Linked DNA regions of Drosophila melanogaster. The protein of the gene in region 2 purifies or fractionates together with the protein of the main gene of each other region. This does not show direct contact. Each region holds a gene or a part of one and is shown on either strand. Other genes may lie near its edges. The genes, in order: fs(1)Yb, vret and armi.

Region 1 (3,750 bases), on a different chromosome or scaffold from region 2:
AGCTGGCCAGTGCCTTCTGATAACCGGACACCACGAAGTCCACCTCGTAGTTCTTGCTAGCGATGCAGAGATTGCGAATAAGAATAACATTGGCCACTAAGCAAGGCAGACAACTCACATATTTGGGCAACGTTGGATCAGCAGCTTCATGTCGTGCTCCAGCGGAAACTGCCGCTGGTAGTCCACAACGAAGTTCTGGGCGGAAAGGCACTCCTGCATCACTTCCACCAGCTGCTGTCCCCGTCCCGACTCCATCTGCAGGCTGACCACGCGACGAACGATGAAGATATATTGCTGGCGCGTCTCATTTAGCCAGCGCAGCGAACTCGCACCCGGGTTCACCAAGTAGATGTTCTTGTACAACATGGGCACAGTCATGTCATAGAAATTGGCAATGCTGCGAATACGAAAGGGAAGGCAATAGAATCACACAGACCACGGATGCTGATGATGATGATGATGATAATAACCTTGGGGCCAAACGCAGCTGTTCGATGGTTTCCAATAGCTGGGGACAGAGGAGCAGCAGCAGGCGCAGCGTGTATGCGCAGTCCATGGCGAAGAGCACCACATCGTCGTAGGGCGTCTCCAAGTCGACGTCCAGAGACGCCCCGCCGCCAGCACCTTCGCAGCCCTCGTTCTCCACCTGGATCTGCATGCTGAGGAAAGCGCTCTCGTAGAAGATCAGCGCCTCCTTCAGATCCTTTTGGTACTCCGGCTGCACTTCCAGCACCTTGTCGAAGATCTGGCGCAACAGTTCCACGTTCTCCGGCTCCGCATCGCCAACAGCGATGAGCAGATCAAAGAGCAGTGGCACAGAGATCAGGTAGTTGCTGTACAGCAGGCTGCCGTGTTGCTTCGGGCTAATCCACTCCGAGTCCGATTCCTTACCGGTGCACAGTCGCATTATCAGACGCACGACGAGATCGAGCAGCTGTCCGTACAGCAGATGGGCCTGGTCCAACTCCTTGTCCCGGCTGACATCTGTCTGTCTGTAGTAGGGATTAGCGCGCTGCAGGAATGTGACAACGGCCGCCATGGCCGATTCATCGTACACCATGTAGGACCAGAATCTGGCGGGGATCAAGTGTTAATGTCTTCGGTATACTGAGCGCAACACGATGTAGCTTACTCGTGCTGCGTCAGGCTCAGCAGGAACTCCATGTCCCCACGGAAATTGTTCGCCGCGAAGGTCCATTCCTCCAGTGCAGCTCCGGATTTTAGGCGTCCATAGGAGCTCAACATGCACAAATAGCTGGCAAAGGGCTTCTCGCGCTGCACCCAGTGCTCGTCCTGTCCACAAAAAAAAAAAACACATATGCATAGTACTATCTCGCCGGAGGTGCACCAACATGTCCACTTACCAGCGCCGGAACGTTCCTGCGCACCCCATCCTTGCCGGAAAGTGCAAACTTGAGTTCGTCCAGTGGCAGATTCTGTGGGTTGCAGTTGTTGTTGTTGCTGGTGTCGTTGTCCAGCATGTCGGCCCCCCCTTTGGCTGGCAACACTCTCGAATTGTTGCTAGGGTATTTCTTCAATAACAAAATTCAATAAAACTAGCGAATTTCGTGCGATGCAAGGTGGCAGCACATTGATAAGGTGGCGCACGCAGGCTCAGCTTGTAATGTCATAAGGTGCGTGAACAAGAGTTGCCAGACGATCAGAGTGGTTCGATGATTATCGATATTGAGTAGTAATCGAACTTGAAGCTTAAGTGTCGAAAGAATTCAGTTGGTTTAAAATTTTCAAACCAAAAGGAGTTTCTCTCTGCTCAAGTGGAAGGCGATAAAAAAGCCATTAGTACGCGATTTGTTTATTTACTTGGCAAAGCGCTGCACGTGACCTTGCTAGCCGTACATATATTAGGCGCAGCATGGAGCCAATTGGAGATCTGCAAGTGCCCAGCTTCAAGGTGGTGTCCGGGGGAACCACCTTCACGTACGCCAGTCCGAAATCCGGAGCAGCCTCCCTCGACTTTCTCGCGCACACCCTGCGGAAAAGGGAGGCGAACACAGAAAAAACTATTCTGATATGTCAGCAGAATTTCGAGGCCGAGCGTCTGAAATTTGAGCTCGCCGAGCGGGATGTCAACACTATTCTCCTGCCCCCGCATGGGGCAATGGTCGGTCAAGTGCTGCTCCTCTGGTCCAAGGGGGTGAGTTTGAATCGGATCACTAACATTACATCAGCGGAGGTTATTTATCCTCTTTCCAGTACATCAACCAAGCTCTAATTCTCTGCGATGGCATGCTCGAGCATCTTGGAGTAGTCGAGGCGAACCTGGTGATCCACACAACGCTGCCGGAACTGAACAAGTTCGAGGAGCGTTTGAAGTGGCTGAGCATATCGGCGAGAAACGCCGAGATGTTGGTCATAACTCCGTGCGACGAAGAGAATGAAAAAGAAGGCAAGGGAGAGACCGAACCGGAGATCGTCCAGCAAAGAATGCCACTCAAAGTAGATGCCCTAAATTCCATGCAGCTTTATGAAATAAAGGAGAATACGCCGCCGACATCATCGGAGGATTACAAGGCGGAGGCGGATGTCCTGCTAAGTGCTGCAACTCCAGCGACAATCCCAAACGACAATAAGGAGCAAGAGATAAATTTAAGCGTGGAGGATGCTACAGTAAAGCTCCTGGCTTCTTTTGAGTTGGGCAGCACTGATTCGGCGGCAGTGGACGAATCCTCTCCAGCTGCTGCTAAGTTCAATGCTCCTGTCTACTCTCCTTTCGTTACTGAAAATCCAACGAAGTCTTTGGACGCCGAGTTTCAAGAGCTCGTAAAGTCGTTTAAGGTGCAAAACGTATTCAAAAACATGAACTTGCCGCCTCCTCCCTCTGTTAGCATTGAAGAACCGGTGTCCAGTGCCTCCGCTTCTGATTATCGACATCAGATCGACACCACTTCGCTGGATTCCATTCGAACTGTGAAGGATTCACCTGCCTCTCTAGCAGTGGTTCCCTTTTCTGCAGGGGGAATAACTTACAACAACTATGGCGTTCTCGGCTGGAGTCGCCACGCGGTCGTGCCGTGCTACGGTTTGACCGAAGCGCCGGACATAAGCACCATCATCAGGCGGGCCATGCAGCAGATGGGTGTGGCTAGGTCGCGAGCGCGGGCGGTCCAGAGATTCGCCTGGCCACATGTCTCGTTGGGTAAATCCGTTTTAGTTGTGGGCAACTTACAGATCGGGAAGACGTGGTCCTACCTGCCCACCGTGTGCCAGCGCAGCCACGAGGATCTGCAGCGACGGCCAGATGTTGGCCGTGGACCTACCTGCATCTTTGTGTGTCCCAACCAGGGGCAGGGCAAACAGATCGAACGCTGGATGAGCACGTTGCTCTGTTTGCTGGGCAGTGCGTCGGGGTTTGAGGATGTCGTTACCCACTGGGACAAGACCCAATTGGTGGACATCGTTCGCCGGCTCAAAAAGCCCGTTGGAATCCTGCTAACCAGCGTGGACTTGTTGCTCCAACTGCTGAACCATAACCCGGTCGGGAGCATTTTCGATGCCCAGGCGGTGAAGTGCATAGCCTTGGATAACCTGAACGACATGGTTCGTGTCCTGCCAAACGACACGATGAAGCTGCTGCAACGATTGCCCGAAATGTTCCAGCTCACCCAAAATAAGTGCCAACTGCTCGTCTCCGGCCGCATTTGGCACACCGATCTAATGGTGCAGCACATTCTGCCTCTGATGCCCGACGTCCTCGTTCTCTTCGACGACGCCTTGGAGGCGAGTGTCTAT
Region 2 (3,750 bases):
TAACTCCACAGAGAGACCTCGACGCCATTTGCCTTCGTACTTAGCTATGCAAAGCTCATTTATCCTAAATGAAAGAGCGCTTTAGTTAAATGGACAAAAGAAAACGGCGAGTAACTTTACGGCGGTGCGTAGGTTGCGCACTTGGCAATCTTTTCACCATACTCCTGTATGTCTCGCTGCATTTTGGTGACTTCGTAAGCCAGATCTATGGAGGTGCAGTAGATAAAGCCGCACTGGATGAATGTGTTGTCCATTACCACTACATTTATGTTCTTTCCGCAGTGCAAGGGAATGTATGGAAGACACTGAAACCGAATAAATGCAAATGACAACTGTGTACTTGATGTTTTTTTAAGTTCTGGCTTACGTCCTCTTTGTATCCCAAGTCCGAGACAGACGGCTCAACAGGAGTTAGGATGGTCTTGAAAAGGCGGTTGAGGCTCCTATTAATATCGATCTCGGTCATCACCACGACCTGCATGCCCTTGCTGGTATCGTACTCACGTGACGAGTACTTGATATTAAAAACTAGGGACTGGTCGAGTTCGTACATGACTTCCCTTATGTTGGGACCCACAAAGCGCCTGGGAACTCCGCGTAATTTAACGGCTACGGGATAGCAGGTCAAACCAGCTAAATACGAACTGCATTCATACAGTCTTTCCAGCTGCGTGACTTCAACACTTCCGAAATCAATGAACACTACATAGATTTCCTTGATATTATCCACGTTTAGCACCATGGCGCGCGACATATGTCCCTCGAACTTGTAGAGCACAATTTGTCCGCAGACTGGCGTACTCTGCAGTTTGGAGGCATCTTTGCCCAGCATCATTACCTCCGTGAGAACTGTATAATAGGCGATGTCAATCTGAATGTCCGCCGAGCGCACATAGACCACGTTAGTCTGCTCGAATGCAGTAATTCTCACTTTAGATCCAGACGGCGGCAAGCCGGGTTTGGGGTACTTCCGGCCCACCTTTTCGTCAAGGTTAAGTATCTCACCCTTGCCGCAAGCTTGCTTATGCTGCTCTGCCACATCGGCGAAACAGGAGGCATTGCAGAAGGGCATTTTGCACAGCTTGCAGAAAGTGTCTGTCCAGTTTTGACAAACCACGCACTTGCTGACGCCGTCTTCCAGCAGGCTTTTAGTTTTATCCTCTTCGGTGACAGCAACCGTTGACCTGAGTGATGCAGAAACTATACTCGTTAGCTAATCAAGGGCACGTGACCAGGTGGCTATACTAACAAAGGAATCGTTCTGCCCGAACGAAAGTGCAGAACGACCTGCGGGATTCTGGTCTCATCCTTAAGCTTGTAGATATCATGGCGCTCCAGTGCGAATTCGTACTTTACATTGAGATAGCGTTGAATGGGGTCGTTGGTGGCCAACAATGAACCTCTTTTGTAATCATCTTTGGTGACCAGCGGTGGCCGGAAGAACTCCGGATGATTTTGTCCTCCGGTCGAGATCGGAACCTCTCTGTTGTGATTCACTGGCGTACGTTCAGTGGCCGAAATTGCTGGGCCTGGTGTTGGCATTGGCTCAGTGGAAGTCACCGGATCGCTGGTGATTTCCCGCTCCTTTTGCGGGCGACCAGTGATGCACTTGATCAGGTTCGGGTAACGCTGCACCCGCTGTTGCGCTGTCTCCAGGGATCTGGAAAAAGGATTATACGCTCGAAATATTGAATGACCTGCGAAAGTGCTTGAAGAAACTCACGCGATATTTTCAAAGTAGACAAAGTATACGCGTGACAAGCGGCGGAACTCCATCTCCTTGATGAGCGCCCGACCGAAGAAGTTGATTAGCATCTTTTCGGTCACATAGGGACTGCTTTTTGGAACCACCAAGTATGGATACTTCGCCTGCCTGGTGGCACGTTGCTCCTTTTCGTCCTTTGGCGGCAGCGGGGCTTCCATGATTAGTTTCTGGCCAGACTCGTTAGTGTAACGGTTGCCCACTTGGTCATAGTATTCCCTGGACATTGGATCGAATGCGGACCAATCATCCTGCGAGGATTCGGATTCCATTGCACCTGAGCTTTAAAATTTCACCTGAATTCGAATTGCAAGCGCGTGCGAGTGTGACCGTTTTCTATGCTGTCAGAAGTATGTTGCTATTGTAACTGTTGTTGAAGTCAGCAAACGGTCACACTGGCACTAGTGAAAAAAACCAAGCCGATTTTAAATATTGTAAACAATCTTGTAAAAACACAATAAAAAATGGTTAAAAACGAGCCCAACTTCGTGGTGGAGCGCATCATGGACAAGCGCATTACCAGCGAAGGCAAGGTTGAGTACTACATCAAGTGGCGTGGCTACACGTCGGCGGACAACACCTGGGAGCCCGAGGAGAACTGCGATTGCCCGAATCTCATCCAGAAATTCGAGGAGTCGCGCGCCAAGTCCAAGAAGCGCGGCGAGAAGAAACCCAAGTGCGAAGAGATCCAGAAGCTGCGCGGCTACGAGCGCGGCTTGGAGCTGGCCGAGATCGTGGGCGCAACGGATGTGACGGGCGACATCAAGTATCTGGTGCGCTGGCAGTTCTGCGACGAGTTCGACTTGGTGCCATCGGCACAGATCGTGGAGAAGGATCCGCAAATGCTGATTGACTATTTCCAGAAGATGGCACCTTACTCCCGTCACATTGCGATGCGAATGAAGGGCGTGCCGGAGGAGCTGCGTTTGGCGGCCTCGCGCACCAGTTATCCGCACATTAGCAGTGCGCCCGTCGAAGTGCCGCCGGAGGTGGATCAGTCCGCTGAGTTGGCTGGACATCTTGGTGGAATCGCGCCACAGGTGGACCAGGCGCCGCAGCACCATGCACCCATGGATCTAGCCAATGATACCGACGATTTGGCTAGTGTTTCGTACTCGATTCCCGTGCCCGGCGTTGGCGACATTGCCATCGATGTGCCCATGGCGGAAAATCAATAAGGACGCGAGCAGAATCGACTGTTCAGTCTTTAATCTAAGCCCCTAAGTTTAATTCATACATATGTATAGCTATCTGAAACCACTGGGTTCGTCCAGATTCATGTGACCCAACTGGCCGGAGCGAAAGAAGTGAATGAACTTTCGCGCGGCCGCCAATAAATTTGTCATCACCTCCACGCGTCCGTCGTACTGCTTGACCTTGTGGAATAGCTCCTCCCGATGAGCGTACTCCGCCAGCACGGCGCTGATGTCGTCACTGGGTCCGGAGCTGAGCTTTAGCATCTCCACGTAGTCGTATTTGCGGTGGCTATTCAGCCAGTACAGCAGATAGTCGGCTATCAGATCCTCGCCCACAATATGATCGGGAAGGCAGCCCACCAGGGCCAGTTTCATGCCCATTTCATCATCCTTAATGGAGGGCTGGAGGATGCCGGGTGTGTCGATCATGTAAACAGGCGGATTCTCTTGGATTTTGATGCGTTCGCCGACGGATCGAGTTATACCCGCCTCGGCACCCACGCGTGCGGCGCTCTTCTTCTTGAGATGCACATTTCGCAGCACATTGATCACGGAACTCTTGCCCACATTGGGCACGCCGATGATCATCAGATTGTGCTCGGCAGCTTGGGTGCGATTGAAGCGACTGCTCTCGCTCACGAGGCGCGTTGCCAGGGGCAGGATGTCCAGCACGCCGTTGTTGCGCTGATCCTTGCAGTTGGTGAACAGGATGTGCTGCAGTTCGGGCTGCTGTCTCCTCAGCTGCTGGAGCACGCTCTTCTGCTGTTTGGCGCCCAGCAGATCGACTTTGTT
Region 3 (3,750 bases), on a different chromosome or scaffold from region 2:
AGCTGAATGTTGCACTCTAGGCGCACTCGATCTCCATTCGTTGGGATGAAGTTCATCTCGATATTGTCTAGCTCGACGGTCAGCTGTCCGTATTCCGTTTCGACGTCTATGGAAGATGCCAGACGCTGGCTAATCAGACCCAAAACGCTCCTTGTTTCGGTGTTAAAGAATGTCGGCTTTTCGTTCTTCAGGTTGTCTACAGCTTTTTCAATCTAATAGAAGTTAGGATTACAGATATTAAGCATTGGCTTTAACAAATGGCTAATAAATCTAATACCGATGAGCTTACCTCCTTTTGGCTTGTGTCCTCCCAGGAATGCTCAAGGATACTCTTCACCTTGACCACCCGCATGGCTTCCCCCGTTGTAAAAGTCAAATATTCCACTACACATCCGACGTGTAGATCCAAGATGATATCCTCTGCCACCTTCGTTTCGAATAAAACGTCTTTGTCGATGACTCCCCGATCGCCGTCTAGACTGGTGATCACTCCCTTTCTGGCGGTGCAGGAACTTTCTTTACTCACGTCCATTTCCGAAAGTCCATGCGTAAGCTCAGCGATCTTGTTACTTAAAACCCCATTAATTTCGTTTGGATTCGCCTTAAGCTGTTGATCCATCTTCTCCTCCATTAGTTTTTGGTCTAAAAAGCTATTCTCCCGATCCAAACTTTCCAGAATATCCTCCCGGTTACGATCCGGGTTCGTGAAAAACTTGCTAACGTATGTGAACATTTTTGAAAATGTTTCGCCGATAAATGCTCTGCCGTTCCTACTGCGCTGCTTTCTTGTCGAGACTCTCGTACATCCAGTCGGTTTCGCTGAGATAGCTCAATTCCTTGCGCAGATTCTGCAGACGCTTCAAGTGGTTCTCCGTCGTCTCCGCCGCCTTCCCGCCCTCGGTGGTTTCGCTCTGCGATTCCGCCTTGTCAGCTCCGATCTCGGGTTTCTTAGCCTGGAAATGTGGACCATCTGTATTGTAAACATTTGAGAACATACAATGTTACCTTCTATGACACCGAAGGCTTAAATATCCTACAATTTTCATTTAACAACATTTTGTTGTTTTACTTCTACGGACAATTTTTGAAATATTTAGAGAATATTTATTTATAAATTTAAATGTATTTATAAGAGCATATATAAAATAAAAAAATTAACATTTGTATACATTTTCTGTATGTTTTGTAACGGAAAATTAAAAACTTTGTGTTAGGGTTCTTGAATTCAATAGTGATTTGTTTTTTAGTCTAGGCTGTTAAAATAACTGCAAAAAAGCAACAGTTTGAATGGAGAAAAAGCAAACGAAAGTCTCAAGAAAAGCGACAGCAACAGTTACTCCTGCACTGCTTTCGTCTCCTTCTACCACGCCAAAACAAGGATGGCAACAACAACAAACTCATACCTCTGTTTCACTGGATTCAACGGGAATATTGGTGGCCGTACCGCTTGTAGATGCTTCTTCTTTGATGGTTATACTTCCGGATGCTTCGCTGGACATTGTCCAATCACGCGGATTTACCTTGGTTATCAAGCTGTGGACCAAATATGTGAGTTCCTTACCGGCTTTTTGCAAATGCACAGCCGGATTTGCTATTTGTACTCGTACTTACAAATATTCTTAACGCTGTTGAATTAGTAGATGCACTGCACTTTGAGTTTTAAGAGTTCAATGGGAAATAGTCATAGTATTCGAAAAAACTCTCGAGCAAAATTTTGAGCACAAAGCGTCTTGGCGAACTTTTAAGTGTGACCGGACTTAGCGGCGTAGAAAATATCCTTGGCTGTGGTATTTTCTTAAAGTGTGTCAAATTAAAGCGGTGGAATATGAAACGTGAGGAAGTTGCTTATGTATTTATATTTTCCTTATTTAAAAAAAGTTCTCAAAAATAAAATGAAACAAAAATGTAAAGTAAAGAACTCAAGAAAGTATATAAAATATCGGCAGTCCACATTTAAGTTTTTGTTTTTGGAATTTACCTCCTCACAAAAATAATACACACGAAGAACTTGTTCTTATTCTTTTATCTTTTTTTCAAGAGTACCTGTTAGTTATCTGTCACTTACATTTAAGAAATAAGCAATCAAATTCCAAAATATGCCAAATATCTTTCCGCAATCCGGAAAGTTTTTCGAGTATATGTGTAAAAAAGTCCATAGATGGTTTCTTTCTCCATAAATACCCTAGTGATCGATATTATTTAAGAGTATGTTCAATACTTTTCGCAGTTGAAATAATTTACCAATTAGGAAAACCAATAAAACCAACTGCCCTATGTCTGATGAGTAAGAAACTGAGCACCAGAGGCGATAAATGGTTCCCGTAAACAGCGCACGCCAGCGCCGAGGCCGCGATTCTATTGAAAAAGGTGTATATATATTTAATATATCTTTATGTACAACTATAGACTCAAAACAAAAATACCCCGCTCAACTGGATATTACAGGGTATAATCGATAACCTTAGCTCAGCCATTGTGATTTTCAGCAATCCACTCGCACGGTCACACTGCCTGTCCAACCCTCCCGCACCGTACTACTCGACAACGTGCTTGTGTGCAGAATTTCCTCGGCTAAATAAAACCAAAAATTGGCAAAGCGCCGTGTCAGATCTAGCCGTCGATTGCACAATTCCGGAGCAGGACGTCGTCGCTGGAGCCACCGAAGCGGAGTCACCATCAGAAGATCACCAGCACCAGGAGAACCCAGTGGACAGTCCTCCTCTTTTTCTTGGCTGCCGAGGCGTCGCGTGTGCGTATCTTTCAGCGGTGAATAACCCACGGCTTTTTGTTTTCGGCCAGAGGAGGAGCGTGTTGCAGTCGCAAACGGGAAGATGGTTAAAGCTAAAAAGGGCAAGAAAGAGATACTGACCAAGGTCGAAGGCGGTTCCTCGGTGGACGAAATGTGAGTCTTGTGCAAGTTCATGCCCACCTGCCAACTTGGCAAACTTTCTATCGCAAATTATTCAATCTTACAGCTCCGATGTGGACAGCGACCAGTTGAGCCTCAACAACAAGCAGAATCATGCCCTGAAGGGCAATCAAGCTGGCGATGACGATGTTAAAGCCGTGACCAAGGGGGTCAAGAAGCTTAATGTCAAGGGAAAAGGCAAAGCAGGCAAAAATGACGACTCCGATGAGGAGGAGGTGGTGCCCGCCAAGGGCAAAGCTTCTAAGAAGTCGGCTTTTGAGCTGCTAATGGACGACGACGAGCAGGACGAGCCAGCTGCCCAGGAAAGCCAGTCTGAGAAGGAGGAAAAGGTAGTGGTCTCCAAGCCACAGAAGAACGAAAAGAAGGGCAAAAAGGCCAAACGCAAGGGGAAGGACGACGACGATGAAGATCTGGACAAGGTTTTAGCTGAGCTTCAAGCGGAATACGCCGGCGAGGCTGCTCCTGCTGCCACTACTGTTGTTTCCCCCGAAGAATTGGCCGATGAGTTCTCCAAGAAAAAAAAGAACAAGAAGCAGGCCAAGCAGGCTGCAGTGGCAGAAAACGCCGGAGAGGATGAGGCCAGCGATGACGAGGAGGGCGGCAGCACTGTGAAGTCGGCAGCCCAGAAAAAGAAGGAAAAGAAGGAGCGCCAAAAGAGGGAGGCTGCCCTAGCCAAGCAAAAGGCAGCTACTGAACCCAAACCGAAGCCCGTGGAGAAACCTGCGCCAGAACCCGAGCCTGTGGCTACGGAAGAAGTCCAGCCCGCCGCCGAGGAAGAGGAGGAAAAGTCCAGCAAAAACAAGAAGAAGGGCAAGAAAGAC

What was found.
Region 1: the proteins of vret (region 2) and fs(1)Yb purify together in Drosophila melanogaster (affinity purification with western blotting, with the first as the bait; 2 studies listed by BioGRID). This does not show direct contact.
Region 3: the proteins of vret (region 2) and armi purify together in Drosophila melanogaster (affinity purification with western blotting; 3 studies listed by BioGRID). This does not show direct contact.

What each region holds. Positions count from the first base shown.
Region 1 is NC_004354.4:2,718,695-2,722,444, forward strand, and holds the start of fs(1)Yb (female sterile (1) Yb), read left to right. Parts: upstream 1-1,773; 5' UTR 1,774-1,873; coding exon 1,874-2,155; intron 2,156-2,214; coding exon 2,215-3,750. Other genes in the region: CG2701 (uncharacterized protein), read right to left, coding at 1-56, 119-397, 471-1,073, 1,133-1,293, 1,365-1,481.
Region 2 is NT_033777.3:22,743,491-22,747,240, forward strand, and holds the start of vret (vreteno), read right to left. Parts: upstream 2,092-3,750; 5' UTR 2,035-2,091; coding exon 1,724-2,034; intron 1,661-1,723; coding exon 1,250-1,660; intron 1,185-1,249; coding exon 368-1,184; intron 306-367; coding exon 121-305; intron 65-120; coding exon 1-64. Other genes in the region: HP1c (heterochromatin protein 1c), read left to right, coding at 2,227-2,940; CG17141 (uncharacterized protein), read right to left, coding at 3,010-3,750. UniProt on the Drosophila melanogaster protein: Gonad-specific protein essential for germline development to repress transposable elements and preventing their mobilization, which is essential for the germline integrity.
Region 3 is NT_037436.4:3,459,324-3,463,073, reverse strand, and holds the start of armi (armitage), read right to left. Parts: upstream 1,758-3,750; 5' UTR 1,612-1,757; intron 1,534-1,611; 5' UTR 1,500-1,533; coding exon of another isoform or gene 1,404-1,499; intron 971-1,403; exon of another isoform or gene 954-970; coding exon of another isoform or gene 771-953; 5' UTR 734-770; coding exon 290-733; intron 213-289; coding exon 1-212. Other genes in the region: CG46463 (uncharacterized protein), read right to left, coding at 771-953, 1,404-1,499; eIF5B (eukaryotic translation initiation factor 5B), read left to right, coding at 2,832-2,902, 2,976-3,750. UniProt on the Drosophila melanogaster protein: Probable RNA helicase required for axial polarization of the oocyte during early and mid oogenesis. Plays a central role in RNA interference (RNAi) process, a process that mediates mRNA destruction of translational repression.